Coturnix japonica: one gene and its partners. The protein of the gene in region 3 interacts with the protein of the main gene of each other region in a pairwise test. Links are inferred from orthologs where the notes say so. Each region holds a gene or a part of one and is shown on either strand. Other genes may lie near its edges.

Region 1 (4,060 bases), on a different chromosome or scaffold from region 3:
AAATACTCTTTTCAATCTACCTAAGAATAACAGCTGTTTCCTGTCATCGCTTTTTAAGGTCTAATTCAATTCTTGGTGAAGCAAGAGAAACTTTCAAGTCAGTATTTTCCAAAAGGCAAGGAAGATGTGAAATGACCACTTGCTATACTATTTCTGATGTTTTCTAAGCACTTTTCTTATTTCATTCCTGTTTCCAAGTATTGATATGCCATGACTGAATGGAAATACTACTAATGTAGATTTTCAGGCAGTCATGACTGGTAGGAAAAGCTACAACGTTCCCCAGTCATCTTGATATCTCCCATCTGTAACCGTTGCTATGCTTCACACAGGGCATAAGATTACACAGCTATTATGATTAAATTTGCATTTTGTCTACTTTCAAGTAAACTGACAAAAAATTAGAGAGGTAGACTGTTACTTGGCTGTTACTGAAGTGTATGGGAAATCACAGCTGGAATCACTGATTAATCAGCTGAGGCAAGTGTTGGGTCAGCTGCGGGAGCACAGGTGAGAGTAATGGAGCTGTGCTCCCAGAAGGGGTGGACTTCGACTCCACCCCCCCTGAGACCTCATTTAAGGGCTGACCACCACTGAGGCAGCATCTCTTGGAGATTGCTCCCTGGTGGAGACTGCCTTGGCTATCCAGTCCAGGCTTTGACATTGGTGAGTTTTCTTTACTAATAACCTTTGACTATTTATCACTGTCTTGGTCAACATCTTTATATAAGCCACCTTTACACTGAAGCTATAGTAAAGGAAATAGAAAGTGTTATTTCTGTTGGGTTCTACTCAAGAAACATTTGATTTCTGCAGTATTTCCAGCCATGACAATGGAGTGAAGAGGTTAAGGATACTTCTAAGATTCTTGTAAAGTCAAAATACTTATAAGCATTAGTTATGCATCAATCCACTTCCCCCTCCTAAGAACTCTACTTTTTCAGTGAGTATGTATGAATGAAGGTTTTTCTTAGAATAGTGAAGATGTGTGACTTTATTCTATCTCTAGTCATATGCATGTTTTAATTCCATAAGGATTTGATTGACTGAGAATAAACAAAAAGCATTTGTATTTTTATGGCATTACATAGATTAGTAGCCATATAGTTACTAGTTAATTGAAATTCTACTCTTTACTCATCTTCATGTTTTTGGCCTCATTTTCATGCTAAGAAGTAGCACACCCAATAATCAAAGGATGACCCTGCAGTGAAAAAGAAAGCTTTCCAGCAACTTCAGAATGAAACTCCATCACTTTCATGTTTCAGTGAATTATGCATACATAACAAAGCCGGTCCTTTGTTCAGAGAGATGTGGTTACATTCTTCAAACACAAAAGCATTCATCCAGTAACTTACACAATTACTCAGATAATTCTGAACTTTATCCAATGTTAAAAAATAAGACTTTGTTTCTTTTGAAACCAACTGAGACTGCGAGTGAAGTGTCTGTCCAACTGTGTCCCTGTCTGACAAACGTGCACATGCAAATTCACACATGCAGTTTCTTCTCCTACTATATATATCATTTACCCCACTGTTCTTTTTAAATACGTAATTTTTCAGACACTGATAACCCAATCTGAGTCTTTTTAGGCATTTTGTCCCTTATAGAAGATTCAGCACACCCTGCCCTAGTATATGATTACTGTCTTTAGTTTTGGTATTACTGTGGAATGTATGTTACCATGTTCAGCTTCATTTGAAGAATATTTTTAACGTATCTATTTGGGTGTTATTTTTTTAATTGTTAAGTGTCTGAATGCCAGCATTGTGTGCATCAAGAGTTCAAACGTGTGCAGTTGTCTTGATAGAGGCATAGAATGGCATCCTGCAAACGTTGAATATATGAATATAGGCTTGTTGCCCCGATGGGGGCAGTGTTGGTTGACTTACACGGTGAGGTAAATAGCTCCAAGCAAACTCCTGCTGAGTGCAGCAGTGCTCTCTGGAGGGGTTACAGAGCTGTGGGTCACAGTGAGAAGAGCCTTCTCAGCAGGCACTGCTCTATGGCCTGGTTTGACATTGAGGAAAACTCCCAAGTGCAGAGACTGTGCTCTGACCACGTGGAGCTGGGCATAGCGGGGCTGTGTATACTGCGTATGAGCTTTCTGGAGCGAATAGTTATATGCCTGGTAACAGGCACAGTCTGTCTGAAATCACAGGAGGTGCTGTTAGCGTCTTGGAAAGTGCCAGCCAGCAAGGCCTGGACTGTCCTTGGCACTGCTCTGTTTGTGCCAGAGCTACTTTGGGATCAGAAGGGCACCATAGCTCTGGAGGAGCACTGGACTACACCGGGTCTCATTCACTTTTCTCCTGCAGTCGGTGGCAGTAAAACTGTGCAGCGAGGGGAGTCTGCCATTACTGTTAGGGGAGGAAACACTTGAGGTTAATTACTACCGTGAATAGGAAAGAATTTTGCATTTGACCTCTAAGTTACAATTTAAAGGCAAGCTTCTCTTTGTTTCTGTCTTGGTGCCTTAAGTATTAAGCAGGTGGCTCGCCACGTAAATTTATTCTAAGACAGATAATGCCATTCGTATCGGACCTTTTTAAAGCCGATCCCGGCAGGTCCCACAGCTGGCCCGTAAAGCACCCAGAGAGGCGGCGGGCGGCAGCGCGCACCGGGCAGGCAGAGGTGCCGCTACCCGCACTGCCCCGCTCTCATCAGCCCCGCCCCGCCCGGCCCCCCGTTACCCCGTTACCGGCCGCCGCGCGCCCCAGTGAGGCCGCCATGTCGCCGCCCGACCGCTATGAGTCTGCCCAGCCTCGGGCAGGCGGGGCCGGGCCGCCTCCTGACGCTGCGCCCGGTCAGGCCGTGCGGGCGGAACGTTGTTGCGCGGAACGCTGGTGCCGGCTGCTGGAGCTGCACGGAGCTTTTGGCGAGTGCTCGGGGCGGGGCCGGGGCAGCTGCACGTGAGGGCGATGGCGGCCGTGTCCGGACTGGAGAAATGCCTCCGTGTGGCTGGAGCTGCTGCGGCGCGACCAGAGCGCTTCCTCAGGTACCGCGGGGCGTCGTGCCGGTCCGACCGGCATTATGGTGCCTTCTGGGGCCTTGTGGTGCGCAGAGCCGCGTTCTGCCGGGCCATGCCGGTGCCGATGCGACGTCCCGGACCTTTCCTCAGCTGTCGGGGTGTCTGTTTCTTCCTTGTGTGTTTTGGTACTGGAAGAAGCTGAATGGCTGCCCGAGGATAAGTGCTGAGGGATGAGGCGGCAGAGAGAGATGGTTTTGTGGCTGGGGAGCTTGGGTGTTTGGTGCTGTGCTGCCTCAGAACTTGTGGGTTGCTCACATGTGATCAGAATACAATGAGGTGCGGGTGCAGAAGGGGGGAACGTGCAGTGAAGAGACTTAACTGCAACGTCCCTGTGGCTGGGAGTGCTCGATAGCTGTACTCTGATGTGTAGAACGTTATGTGAAAGCGGTAACTGTTGAAGGATGCCGGTCTGCAGCACCAAAGGGCCTCAGCAGGGAGATGGGGCTCTGCAGAAACGTGGCTGCACGGTTAGTTCAGTAGGAGCTGTGTATGAATGAAAGTAAGTGAGTTCTGCAGAGCAGAAGTGCGTGTGTGTGGGAACAAAAACACAACACCTGCTGTGCTTTTCAACGTTCTTTTTTTTCTTTTCCTACTCCCAGTGTGCAGGATGAGCTGGCTGCTGACTTCAGAACCTTAACAAAGACTCTTTATGATTTAAATAAAGCTCTTGGAAGCAGTGTAGTTCGTGGAAGTCCTCTGAAAGAGCTGGTGATAGAGAACTTTGATGAAGAACAGATCTGGCAACAACTGGAGCTCCAGAATAATGTGATTCTTGATGTCTTCCAGAAATCTGTTGCACAGTGTACCAACGATAAAGACCTTTGCCTTATCTCTGACCAGGAAGATGACGGCTCTGATGCAGAAGCCAGCAGTGATAGTGAAGTGGAAGACATGATAGAAGCAGAAACTGAACTGGAGGATGCCTACATAAAACATAAAACTGAAGCTAAAGAAAAGAAAAGTAAACCCAGAGAAAGTGTAATAGAGAAATACAGTGATGAAGATTCTGATGTTGACTTTGATATT
Region 2 (4,247 bases), on a different chromosome or scaffold from region 3:
CACAAAGGAGGAGAAGAAGGCGGCCCTGGAGTTATCGCAGTTCAGTTGCTCAGGACTGGCAAAGTGGCACTCATTGCTCACACAATACACTGTGAGAAACCTCCTGGCCTTCCCCCTTCCTTTAAGACCACATCCCATTTGCAGGCAGATCATTTTAGTACTTGCTCAGCTTCTCTTTTCCAGACCAAACCATAACGGAACATAACAGATCTGCAACTAGCTTACAGGATGGAATGCCACCCTGATCATTCCCTCACATATACACTTGCCACAAGACCAAAGCTCTGTAAACTGAAATACCTATTACTAAAATAATGGGTTTATTCCACCGAAATTCCAAGCAGCTGATGACAGGAACATTTTCCACAGTTTCAGACTGGCTCACTGTTCCCACAACTTCCCAACCTTCTGCAGCTTTAGCCTGGGAACAGGAGAAGAAACAAATGTTAAGAACAATATTAACTTTTCAAGCTTAAAAAGAAAACAAGACATGTACAAAACCGTATTTATGTCCTAGATTTTCAGTTAAGCTGAGTGGCTTTTTGCCATCCCTTGAATTTTTACCACCAAAGCCCTACCAGAACCAGACACAAGCCCTGAATGAGAACAACAAAAACAAGAGGTAGTTTTCCTTCTGGTGTTTCTTCCAGCTCAGCAAGCAAACAAAAAGCAACTGAAATTACATTATTTCTGCCAACATAACAGTTCCAGGGGGGTTTTTGTTTGTTTCTGGGTTGTTTTTTTTTTTGTGTGTGTGTGCCAGAAAAGCATGAAGAAAGTTGTGTTAAACAAATCAGCTTAAGGTTAATGAATAGAGCAATGCAGTGGAAGCTTTGAAGCGCAAGCTCAACCAGCAGAAGCCCCCAGAAATGTTTTCAAATACAGCTGCACATTCTCAAACTCAGATGCCAAAAATCAGTTCATAAAAAAACAGGGCACAACACTCAGCAGCTCATGTAACCAGAGAAGCAGCCTTCCTTCCCCTGCCCTAATATTAAGTACCTCAATTATTTGTCTTAAAAGCCTATTTTAACAATAAAAGAGCTGCTGCTGCTTCGTGCCAGCTTCATTTCCTGTGAAACTGACACTTTTACATTAAGTGATATCAAATTTACACCAGACAACACATGTGGTTAGGCCAGAGAATCTGGGTCCAATAAAATGAATGGCTACAACAGCTCAAAACATTAATAATTCAAACTTTACAGCAACAAAGTGATCCTTCCAGCTGTTTCAATGTCAGTGTACTTCACATGCCTTTCATTTCTGCATTATTCAGAGCTCCAGCTACCACAGACCTACTGTACAGCCCAACACCGGATTCTGGCAGAGTGGGAAGAATCCACTCTTACTCCTGCTCATGGTCACAGCACAATCTGATGAGCTCCTCCTCAAAACGGCAGAGCTACCCTCAGAGCACAGACTGGCTGCAGCTCACACACAGCTCTGGTTTCCCAAAGCTCCCTTACACTAAAAGCTGCCCAATGCTGCCACCATGTGCCGGGCTCCAGGACAATGCCTCCATCTGTATCAGTCCTCTATTTGCACCTTCTCTGCTCAATATATGCACTATTTGAAGTTTCCCATACATTACTATTTGAAGTTTTCTATATACTGTAACACAGTGAAAAGAAACGTGCGTCATTCTACCTTCAAAAAGCTCCGGAGATCGTCTGTGCTGTAGACATCAAAGACTTCCATCGCTCCAGAACTCGCTTTGCTCACTGTTGGAGTCAAGGGGCAGCTGCAAAAGAAAGGTTTCACATAAGAACAGAAGGAGGAAAAACGAGGAGGATTTCTGCTTCTGTGTTTTCTTGCTATGCACCTACAACCCAATTTTATCTAGTCTTGCTCTCTCAATGGATGCACCTTCCTATGGGGAACCTAAGGGCTCAGAAACAAACCCAGGAGGCGGGCTGCAGCACTATGTGTGCAGACAATTAAAACATGAAACAGGCTTTAAAACCAGCACCCCAAGAGGCTCTGTGCCAGCCTGGAACGCTGTATCCCACAGCCTCGACTGCCCAGCTCTGCCCAAACCCCATTTTGAGGTCAGTCCTGAGAGCTGTGCCTTTAGACTTGAGACCACTTTAGGAAGAATTGAAACCCTGAGTGCTGCAGGAGTGAACAGCCGACCCCATACCTGTTCCTCCGGCTCGTCACCACTCTGTCCACCCCTAAGAAGTAGGCAGAGCGCAGCAGTGCCCCCAGGTTCATGGGGTCCTGGATCTGCTCCAGCACCAGCCATAGCAGCTGTCGGTTCGTGCTCTCTCCATCGCTCCCTTCGTCCTCCTCCATCCTCTTGTAGCGCAGCGGGGTGGCCTCCAAACACACCCCCTGGTGGACGCGTCCCCCGCACAGCTCGTCCAGCTCCCTCCTCCCAACGTGTAGCACGGGAACCCCTCGTGCCGCGGCCTGCAGCACCAACTCGCTGCTGACGAGGCGCTGCGGCCCAACGCTCTGCTTAAGGAACAGCCTGAACAGATCCCTCCTGGCCTGGGACAGCGCCATGGAGCACGGCGCCACGCCGAACAGGATCTCGCTGCCCCTCGTCCTTTCAATGGGCAGAACCCTCCTTCCCTGCGGCCTGCTCCTGCCCTTGGAGCCCTCCCGTGCTGTGTATAACCGTGTGGGCTGTTGGTCCCGCGTGGGGCCCACCCCAAAGCAGCAGCTGCGGGCGGAGGGCGGCAGCCTCAGGGCTCTGAGGGCGAGGGACCTGAGCGGCTGCTCCATGGCGGCCCACGAGGGGAAGAGCCCCCCGGTACCACGCGGGGATGGAGAACCGCACTCGATCCAACGCGGACACACACGTGGGCACAGAGCGACCGCGCTGCTTCCGGCCGGCCAGAGGGGCACCCAGCGTCACAGCGCCCCCTGGCGGTCGGCGGAGCGCAGCCTCATGGCCTCGTACCCCCTTAAAACCTTAATTAAAGTGCCTCATGAGACCTAGAAACAGGAGTTTTGAGGGCAAAACCCTCCTCGATGCTCTACCCAGACACAGTTAGCACAACGTGCTTCCCCCCCAGCATTGCGGGAAGGGGCTCCAGAGCGCACGGGATGAGCTCCATGTTGTCTCACCCCAGCTCACATCCAGCCAAAGCTTCAAACCAAAGCGCCGCTCTAGTGGCAGAGCACTTCACATCCACCTTTCGCTTCCATAAATGAGATGGTGATTATTCCACGTCAGTCTCTTCCAGAAGGATTTTGCAGAGAGGTGGGTCAGTCTTCTACTCGGAAGCACCAACAGCCTTCAAAAAACATGGAACTGTTTATAGAGATGGAGATTCCTTGAGTAAAATGATCTTATCCAGCTGCCTATCAGAGCCAATTGCACCCGTGGTGGTTCCTCCCACCCAATATGAGAGCTGAGATCTGTCAGCAGTACTCACAGACTGCCACATCACATCTCCTAGAGGTACAGCAACGTTAAAGCAATTGATGGCATTTATTACATAGGAAAAAACAAGGAAAGCACATGATTAGAAAAGACAAACATGCTTTTAATTCCACAAATGCTTTCTACCTATTTACAAGGTATCCAAAACACCTGCCTCAGATCCAGCAAGGCAGCCAAGTCAGCTACTCACTACTTATTTGCAAAAAACATTTGTGTTTTAATGACAGCAAACCTGAGCCTCTGCAACTTGGACAACCTGAAAGAGGTCCGGGAAGTAAAAACGCCTCCATTTAACAACAGCAATAATCCACCCCACTTCAAACAAGTGTGGGAGATTGACAGAGTTCAATATCCAAGTCTGCACAGCAGCACTGGCTCATCCCTTGCATAGTTTTAGCCAAACCCAGCAGCCTACCTGGGGATTTCAGCAAAGCCCTGTGGAACTCAGCTTCATTTGAACAGGGAAGGGTGAGTCCAATCTCCACAGCTTATCCATGAGACAAATGGATGCTATTCTGCTCTAGAAAGCAATTGCAATATGTTTCCCCCCCGTGAGGAACCAAACTCACACGTTTCTGTTTGAACTCTTCACAAAAGATAGGTTCATCTGTGAGCAGTAAAAAGGCTGTTATGTACAAACACGAACTACTATATACAACAAAAGAACAAAATTGTGCCTCTCTTTTTATTCTTTATTTCCTAGTTTTACAATTAGAAGCCTACTGATAGATTGTACAGGTCACTCTCCTGTCTGGGGTTTCTGGACGCCTCGGGGTCACGTTGCCAATCTCATCCCAACCCAGGAAGAAGTGCTTGAGGTGCCACCAGGTGACACGAGGCAGAAAGGCTG
Region 3 (4,323 bases):
TGAATTCCCCTTTACCCCCTTCCAACCTGCCTCGCTCCAATATTAACAGACCTGAAGTCATCTTCTAGGAACCTAAAGACCCAATCCTGCCATGCTACACCACTCTTTTCACTTCCAGGGACAACACTAGTGCCCAAATACTGTCACATTTATTGACTCAAAATGTCTACACCTGCTCTAACTTCACACAGAACTCGTGGCTTCAGGAAAGTTAATGACCCATGAAGCTGTGACGTGAGTGAAACCAGAAGGAGCGATGCAGCTGCAATGGCTTGGACTGTCCAGCCAAGATATCACAACATAGATATCTTATCATAAGGCAAAGCCCTGGTTGCACTGCAGCACCCTATCACATCTGCTGAGCATTCAGCACAGACCGCCTGAACATCAAACGCTGCTCAAACAGGTTTTTAATAATGACTATTTTTTTTAATTGCTCATGAAAGCCTACAAAATGCTCCAGCACCACCCGCTGCTTCCCCCTCCTCCCAGATTGCACCGCAGAGACCAGGCAGAAACTGCTAATCAGGAAAATACAAGATGTTCTTGGATAAGAACGGAGACATGCAAATAGCATTCACCCAAGAGACGATCACAACATCAGGGAAATTCTTAATTAGGTAGTATTTAATTGCACGTTATGCACTCACAAGACCCCTCAAGGCTCAGCAGTTAATATAATTACGCAGAGTGGGTTTTATTATATATATATATATATTAAGCTGTCTAGATCAATATTGCAGTTATTAAATTAAGAAGCTGGCTCCATCACCAGCATAACGTCAGGTAAGCAAGGGCTGGTAATCCAGGGGGCTGCTGGAAGAAAAACAAAGCATTTCCTTCCGAGCTATTAGTCTGAGTTATCTGACAGCTCTTCAGGGCACTATGGAATTGGCTGATGGTCTCGGTATGCTTTCACACAGAAAACGGAGTGTTAATGAAAAACATTATTTAAAGCTGCAGTCATTACGTGAGATAATTTGCAGGCAGCCTCCTGGTGAGACAGAAGAATTCATTCCCATCTGTTCAGGGGGATATATCCATACCTAAGAGCATACATTGCTTTTTTGAAGAGTTCTTTGGTACAGGAACTCATTCTGCCTGCCTGGAGGTATTCAGAACCCACCTGGATGCTTTCCTCTGCAGCCTCCTTTGGGGTGCTTGCTTTAGCAGGGGAGCAGCACTAGATAATCTCCAAAGTGGTTGCCAACTCTTTGAGTTGATCTACTTGATCTACTTTTCAAGTTAGCTTTGCTTTGAGCAGGAGGCTGGGCTAGGTGACATACGTAGGTCTCTTCCAATCAAAATGATGCTAGGATTCCAGAGCTAGCACATAAAAACACCCGAGAACAAAACATCTGATTTCAGGCATATTCATTGTAGGGCCTTTTCCAAGCTCAAGCAAACTTGATATTTCAAGATTCAGAATAGCTATTGCAACAATCCTAGCCATCAAACACTCACTGCAATAATAAGGTGATGCTGCTTTCCACACTTTGCTGAGCATTACTACCAGAGCTGAGCCAGTAGATGCTGCTCCATGAGTGAATTCTTCATCTACTGCAGGTCAAGGCCTGCCATATTAATGCTACAGTCCTACCTGCGGGTTAAAGAGGGACCTCAAGGCTGAGACTTTGCTACAATCTGGCACAAATGCTGCATTCACGCAGGTCTTTGGAAGTTTTCTTCTTCTGTCATTAGGTTTATCCATCTGATCACAGAGAAACTGTAACCAGTTAACGCCAATGCATAGAAGTAGTGTGTTATTCCCAATCCCTCTCTGAATGAGAACCTTGCCAACCTTTGGGTTGTGTTTCAGAGCAGTAGGCCACGACTCAGAGACAGCACAAAGATGCAGGACAATTATTAACTCACTGTGTTACAGCCCTTGAATCCCAGAACGCAGCATGGCTTAGGTTGGAGAGAACCTGAAAGATCTTTTGGATCCAATGCCCTGCCATGGGCAGGGCTGCTAATCACTAACTCAGGGCCCATCCAACATGACTCCAAGGATGGGGCATCCATAACTACTCTGGGTAACCCATTTCAGCACCACACCACCCTAACCAGTACTTTACAAAAGGTACTTCCCAATGCTGAGAACACTTTGGCCAGGTCAAAATCACTCTTACCCAGGAGGAGATTTAAGAATGCTTGCTAAAAAGCAGGGAGGAAATGCAACATTTTACTTATGTTGTCATGGTGACTCGTTCATTCATGAAGCATCTCTTTTCTTCTAGCTCCTGCAACCAAACTGCAAAGCTTTCAGCAACGCACCCAAAACCCCAACAGGGAAGCTGGGAAACAAGCAGCACATCACCCTAGAAGGCTCTGAAAGTATAACTAATGGAGGAAAAACAGGGGAAAGAGTCTAAAAGGCTTCAGTCTCACGAGCAACATGAAGAGCAAAGGGGGCCGATTTCAGCCTCTGTGTGAGGAGCTGCTTCCTCCTGAAGTTAACGGGTAACTTCCGAAGTCCTTTTATTTCCCGTTTCTCTACTAAACATCGCACAAAAGTTTACAGCCTCCCTCATTCCACGCCCTCCCCCCCTAGAAATTAAGTTAAAACACAGAACAGCAGTTTCTGTCGGTCTATACAAGCCCACAAAGCCGTCACCTTCCTGAGGTGAGTTCCCTGACCAGCACCAACTTCGCCTCCTCAGAAACCCATTAAGGATCACAGTTGGGGGATGGAGGGGGGAATTGGGAGGTAGAAGGCCGAGGGGGGGCCCACCTGGGCGACAACCCCTACTAAAAACCCCTCCACAAAAGGCAGAAACAGCCACTTCTCCCTCCACAAACACCCCCACGCCTCCACACAAGGCACCATACCAGCCTCAACGCCCACCCCCGTACTCTTTTCTCCCAGCCGACCCACCTCGCCCCACAACAGCTCAGCCCCACATAGGCTCTGCCCCATATCCCCCCCCGTACCTTGAGGCTGACGGCAGGCAGCTCCATGGCAGCGGCCCGCCCGCCCCGTGACTCCCACCGTGGGGCTGCTCCCCGGGGCCGCCCAAAGGAGGGAAGGAAGGCGGGAGCGGCCGGGACACCGCCTCCCTCAGCGCCCTGCCCCGGGGGTGGATCCCAACATGGAGGGGAACCTCGTTGGGGTTTTTGTCTCAGCTGTCAGGCTGTGAGGTGTTAGACGAGGAAGATATGGAGGATATGGAGTGTGTCCAGGGATGGGAATGGAGCTGTGTGTGGGAGCGCAGTGTTATGGGGAACAGCTGAGGGAAGGAGATGGGTCAGGCTGGGGGAGAGACCTCATTGCTCTCACAGCTCCTGAAAGGGGGTTGTGGCAAGGTGGGCTCAGCCCTTGAACTTTGTAACAGCAACAGTATGGCCTTAAGACACAGCAGGGGAGGTGCAGGTTGGGTATTAGGGACAATAAAGAAGGAGCAGCTGCCCAGGGAGCAATGGGGTCACCATCCATGGAGGTGTTCAGTGTGGAGATGTGGCACTGAGGGATGTGGGCATAGTGGGGTGGGTTGGGTTGGACTTGATCACAGAGCTCTTCCCCATCCTTAAGGAGCCTATGATTCAGAATTGGGACTCCTTCGCCTCTTGTTCTGAAGGCTTTTCCCATTTTAGAGCTGGGGAAGTTGTTAACTAAACGACCAACCCCAACCCACAGTGTACAGCTATGAATTCCTTTCCTGCCCTGTTTATAACAGCCATCTTCTTCCCACATACAGCAATAGGATAGCAGAACCAAGAAGTAAGGGTGACCCTCTCCAACCCTCCCTGCCCAGTATATGCATGACCCATTTGCAGAGCATGACATTTCACAGACAGATTATGACATTTTGCTGGGTTGGTTTCTTTATTGTAATTTACTTTTAAGACAGGGCCTCTAAGAATGAGAGAGGAGCCAGAAGTTCATTGCAGAAGCTGGATGTGGAAATGTGTGAGTCACCCTTCAGTCCCACATCCAGTTCAAGCAGTGCAGTGCAAGGTTATGTATAGGTTGTCTGCAGTAGGGGATCTGAACTCACACGTTCTCAACCAAGCCACAAACAGGCCTTGGAAAAGCCATTTGTGCCCCTGCCTCTGGGAAGGGGAGTCTCAATCTGCCCTATCCTCCACTGCAGCCCAGTTTAAGTGTAAGCACTGTCTGGATGCAGCAGTATGTGGCAGCCTTTGCTCCTTCCAGCATTTTCACTTGGTCTGACTGAGACAGGCGGTCCCATTATCATGAACGTGGTGTGAGCTGTAATTTGGATTGATGTGACTGCTGTTCAATGCAAAGCATTCATTTCCCCTTGTACAATGGAAGTGCTTTACTTCATTTTGTTCATCAATGTATTGTGCAATTAATTC
Region 4 (4,358 bases), on a different chromosome or scaffold from region 3:
GACTGGGAGAGCAAGTGTGTGTCAGTGCTGGTCACCCTGTGAGTACACAGCCTGGGGCGACAGTGGTCCCATTTCCACGGCAGCTCCCAGCATTGGCCAGAGAGATGGGTCAATGTCTGAGCTGCGTGCAGGCTATGGGCAGACAGTGTGGGAGCAAAGGAGAGCTCCCTGCAGAGCCAGACCGAGGTGTGACATTTCTCAGCCACGCAGAGGGACGCTCTGAGCATTGGAATGGCTCCGTCAGGGAGCAGAGCCCACCCAAAGGTGGTATGGCAATGATGGGAGGAAGCCAAACCCGGAGCCTTTACCCACACAGCTCTCCCCTCATCTACAGAGTAAGGGCTTGCAGGGATGGTGCTCGCTGTGTGTGGGGCTGTGTGCTGCTGAGCAGGGCACCGAGGCTTTGTACACCCCAATGCCAGCATTGCCAGCGTACCCCCAGATATCAGCACAGCTCAGGAAGCAAAGGGGAGCGAGGGGCTGCACAGTAGCTGGTCACACTCAGACAGTGACAAAGACAAAGGGAATGGGGACAGAGACAGTGCAGGCTGCCCTGTGTATGCTCAGGGTGGGTCCCAGCAGGTCCCATGGCCACCCGTTCCCCAGCCATACTCCTGCTGCTTCCCACACAATCCCTCCATGGAGCCCAGCGAGGACAGGTCTGTGCCAGCACCAAGCAGAAGCAGCCCCCGCTCCATCAGCCAGGCCTGCTGCGTGCTCTGCTCAGCACCTCACCTGAGGCAGCCCCAGCTGGAGCTGCAGAACTACAGTAACATCACAGGGTGTGCTCAGCCCTGCCCCAGCCACCCAGAGCACAGAAGTGATGGGAAGCTTCCCTCCAGAGCTGTGTTCTGCTAATCCAACCGAGTTTTCAGCTGTAAAACCGAGCGGGCTCTGCCACCTGGCTGCTCTCTGCAGCAACCACACTTTGCTCAGCTCTCTGGGAGCAGTCCGACAAACCAGAGAGGTTTGGAAACAGAAGCAGCAGCACAAAACCTCCCAGAGCTCCTGCAGCCCCAGTCCCACAGCAGCTCCAGCCCTGTGCCCCATCTCAAGGGAGCGAAGGTTAAAAAGTGGGGGGAAATTGGCCTCACCGGGAGCCAGGTCTGGAAGAGCAGGAGAGTCGTGCACTGACAGCACCGACCGCTGCGTGGCCGCAGTCCCAGGGCGGCTGGGGACAGCACTTAGCGCACGGTCGGTGCCTTCGTTAATTAAAGCCGATAATCAGAGGGAGGGAGGCTGAGCGATGAGGAACGGCCCCGTGATCTTGGTGTGTGGTGGGGGGAACACCGGCCCATGGGAGGCATGGCAGAACCCCACTCCAACCAGCATCCTCAGAGCAGAATGACAGCCATCAGGAGCAGTTATAGGCTCAGGAGCAGGAGGGGAGCTAAGGGTCAGCGTTGGGGATCTCCATAACAGGGAGACCCAGGGGTGCTGCAGCCCCGCAGCAGGAATCACAGCCACATCGTGGCTCCCTGGAGGTGCCCAGCAGTGCCAGTGGGCAGCCCCAGGCTGTGGGCCCAGCCAGTGGCAGCATGGGGACCCTCCAAGTCCTGCCCAGCTCCAAGCTGCCCAGGATGGACATGATGGCCGAGGAGGTGCCAGCAGGGCTGGCACTGAGCACTTTCCCCTCCGGCTCACCCCAATACTCCCCAGCAGATCCATCCCCAGGTGTTCCCACTCCGCCTTCCCCACGTGGTGCCAACCCGTCCTGAGCAGAGCTGGGGCACATTTCCTCCCTAATCCCAAACCCATCCCAAACAGAGCACAGCACCAACCAGCTGCACAGCCAAGCAGCAGCTGAGGGCCAGGAGCACAGTGCCCTGCTGCTCCCCTGAAGGCACTGCTGTGTAGGACACACTCTGTGTGCGCTGCCAGGAGCAATTGAAGCGACCCCTTTTCCATTTCCCTCTTTTCAACGGATCAGACACGTGCCCAGGAACCACCCACCCTGGGCTCTCACAGCACGGCAGCACAAACCCCTGCAAACAGCCTTTTCCCTGCACCTTCCAGGGCTGAGCCGAGGAAGGGAGATGCAATCGGCCACTGCGGCTCTGCCCTGCGGGGCCCTGGCACCGCGGAGATGCAGATGGAGGCAGCCCCGTTGGCTCTGCCTTCCCTGGCAACCTGCAGCCCAGTGTTCACTTATTGAAAGAGAATCAGCAAACGGCAAGGAAACGCATTACTGCTCACTGTCATACTTCTCATCCCAGTGAGGCCGCAGGAAGAGTTTAACAGTGGTGACCAGAAGGCAGGTGACCCCCAGGGGCCGCCCTGCTGCCCCCCGTGTGCTGCCCAGCGTGGCACCCCGGGGTGCCGGCACAGCTCCTCGGGGTGAATGGAGCGGCGTGCGGCAGACGGGGATGGGGGGGAGAAACCAGAGGAACGGGGCTGCTGGAAAACCTCACAGCGCACGGCGTGGGCCCCCTCCCACCCCCCGGCGCAGGACAAGCCCCCACAGCCGGGTCGAGGCTGACCGGGGAAGCTGGCAGGGGGGCTGCTGGCCCCGAGGCTGAGCCGCAGGATGCTCCGGCAGCCCCGCACAAGGACCCCGCAGCCCTCATAACCTCCCCAGCCCACGCGGGGCCACGAGCGCTCCGAGCCCGAGGGCTGCGGCAGCAAAGAACGGAGCCACCGCGAAGCTGAGCCCCAACCTTCGGATGGGATGCGAATGGAACGATGCGGCAGCGCGACCCGCCGTGCCCCCGGGGCTCGGGTACCTGTGAGCAGCTCGATCTTGTGCCGGAGAACCTTCATGCCGGGCCGGCGGCCCCGGCGCGGGGAGCGAGCGGAGCCGGAGCGGAGCGGAGAGGAGAGGAGCGGAACCGAGCGGAGCGGAGAGCGCAGGGCGGCGCAGGGGCGAGGCGGAACGGCCCAGGGGAGCGGATCCTCCCCTCGGCGGGGCCGGAGAGGAGGGACGGGGCCGGGGATGGGGCCGGGAGCGGGGCCGGGGCCGGACGGATAATAAGAACGAGGGAGGGGGGAAAGAAAGGGCAACTGTGGAGCTGCGGAGGGCACGGGGGGGGTGTGTAAGAAAGGGAGCGGGGTGAAGCGATGGAAGATGGAGAGCTCCGGGTGCAGCGCTGTGTCCGAGGGGTCCTCAGGAAAGGGGCCGTGACGGCTGAGGAGGGTGGGGGTCCCCACGATGGTGAACAGGCCCAGGAGGAACCGCGATAAGGGGGAGCTGGGCAACGGGTGTCCCCACAGCATGGCCAAGAGTTGGGGGGCAGGGAGTGGGGATGGCGATAGATGTGGGGTCCAAGGGGTCACCCAGGAGATGACACTGTGCCTGGGATGGAGATGGACCCTGTACACATACAAGGAGCTGTGGGGTCGTGGGTGTTTGGGACTGAGGATCACCCAGTCACTCTCATGACAGCGTTCAGGTCTATGGAGGAGCCCAAGGGCTCCCAAGGCAGCAGGGCAGCAGTGCTGTATTTGCTCTGGCCAGTCCAGGCCTGCAGTGGATGCACTCACAGCACTCCTCCTGTACAGCACAATCACAAGTGCAGCTTGTCCCACAGCGGGGCTGGGGCACACGTCTGTTCCATCCCCGGTACATCTGTGCTGACAGCTTGTCCCAGGCTTGTTGGATGGCAACCAGCTTCCAGCTGACTTCAGCCTCTCCTGTTGAGTCGCAGATAGCTCTGCATGCTGGGCTGTGTTCACCTTCTCACCTCAATGGGATGCTGGGGATCACGGGGCTGTTCAGCCAGGAGCTTCTCTGCCTTCAGGGCTGCCTCTTACACCACAGCAAATGGTTCACCCCGGAACTGGGCAGGGACATGAAGGGATCAGATCCTCTGTGTAAAGTCAACCTCCTCTGAGTGCCAGGGATTCCTACAGGAATAAATGGTTTTCACACCAGGAATGTATCCTCTCCGCACAAAGTTCAACTTGACCAAATAAGACCTTTTAGATGCTACCTTGCCAAAGGAGCGTGGCCATATGGCTGCAATAATTGCACAATTAATTGTGTATGGAGAGAGCATAAGCTTTCTATGCACTGGAATCTGCATTGCACGTGGTGCGGCCTGCACCCTCAATTGCATGTTTAAAAGGAGTTTTACAGCATGGATTTTTCCACATTTCTCTTTGCAGGTCAATGTGGCATTTTTCACATGGCTTTCCATGCACTTTCATCTCAGCCATGTGACAGCAAGGCAGTCAAACCAAGGTCTGGCTGCGGAGATGGCATCAGGGAGGTCACAGCCGTGGACAAGGACTCTCGGAGGGTCAGGGATGCTGTGTGCAGACTTGTGCTGTTTTCTGCTGTTTGCTCTTTTCCTGGTGGCACCAAAGAACTAAGGGGCCCTTTGCCCAGAGATGTTGAAGCAGGTGATGATGCTGAGGCT

What was found.
Region 1: the proteins of AGTRAP (region 3) and MCEE interact in binary tests that used the Homo sapiens proteins (3 or more experiments, as listed by UniProt). The two-hybrid records come from large-scale screens. The link is inferred for Coturnix japonica from reciprocal best matches to the Homo sapiens genes AGTRAP and MCEE.
Region 2: the proteins of AGTRAP (region 3) and MRM1 interact in binary tests that used the Homo sapiens proteins (3 or more experiments, as listed by UniProt). The two-hybrid records come from large-scale screens. The link is inferred for Coturnix japonica from reciprocal best matches to the Homo sapiens genes AGTRAP and MRM1.
Region 4: the proteins of AGTRAP (region 3) and NDRG4 interact in binary tests that used the Homo sapiens proteins (3 or more experiments, as listed by UniProt). The two-hybrid records come from large-scale screens. The link is inferred for Coturnix japonica from reciprocal best matches to the Homo sapiens genes AGTRAP and NDRG4.

The regions. Positions count from the first base shown.
Region 1 is NC_029525.1:4,852,076-4,856,135, reverse strand, and holds the start of MCEE (methylmalonyl-CoA epimerase, mitochondrial), read right to left. Parts: upstream 2,852-4,060; 5' UTR 2,736-2,851; coding exon 2,705-2,735; intron 1-2,704. Other genes in the region: MPHOSPH10 (U3 small nucleolar ribonucleoprotein protein MPP10), read left to right, coding at 3,634-4,060. UniProt on the Homo sapiens protein: Methylmalonyl-CoA epimerase involved in propionyl-CoA metabolism.
Region 2 is NC_029534.1:6,933,134-6,937,380, reverse strand, and holds the start of MRM1 (rRNA methyltransferase 1, mitochondrial), read right to left. Parts: upstream 2,852-4,247; 5' UTR 2,734-2,851; coding exon 2,144-2,733; intron 1,745-2,143; coding exon 1,651-1,744; intron 422-1,650; coding exon 301-421; intron 1-300. UniProt on the Homo sapiens protein: S-adenosyl-L-methionine-dependent 2'-O-ribose methyltransferase that catalyzes the formation of 2'-O-methylguanosine at position 1145 (Gm1145) in the 16S mitochondrial large subunit ribosomal RNA (mtLSU rRNA), a universally conserved modification in the peptidyl transferase domain of the mtLSU rRNA.
Region 3 is NC_029536.1:4,903,978-4,908,300, forward strand, and holds the start of AGTRAP (type-1 angiotensin II receptor-associated protein), read right to left. Parts: upstream 2,804-4,323; 5' UTR 1,712-2,803; coding exon 1,601-1,711; intron 1,327-1,600; exon of another isoform or gene 1,127-1,326; intron 1-1,126. UniProt on the Homo sapiens protein: Appears to be a negative regulator of type-1 angiotensin II receptor-mediated signaling by regulating receptor internalization as well as mechanism of receptor desensitization such as phosphorylation.
Region 4 is NC_029526.1:2,081,628-2,085,985, reverse strand, and holds the start of NDRG4 (protein NDRG4), read right to left. Parts: upstream 2,852-4,358; 5' UTR 2,761-2,851; coding exon 2,724-2,760; intron 1-2,723. UniProt on the Homo sapiens protein: Contributes to the maintenance of intracerebral BDNF levels within the normal range, which is necessary for the preservation of spatial learning and the resistance to neuronal cell death caused by ischemic stress.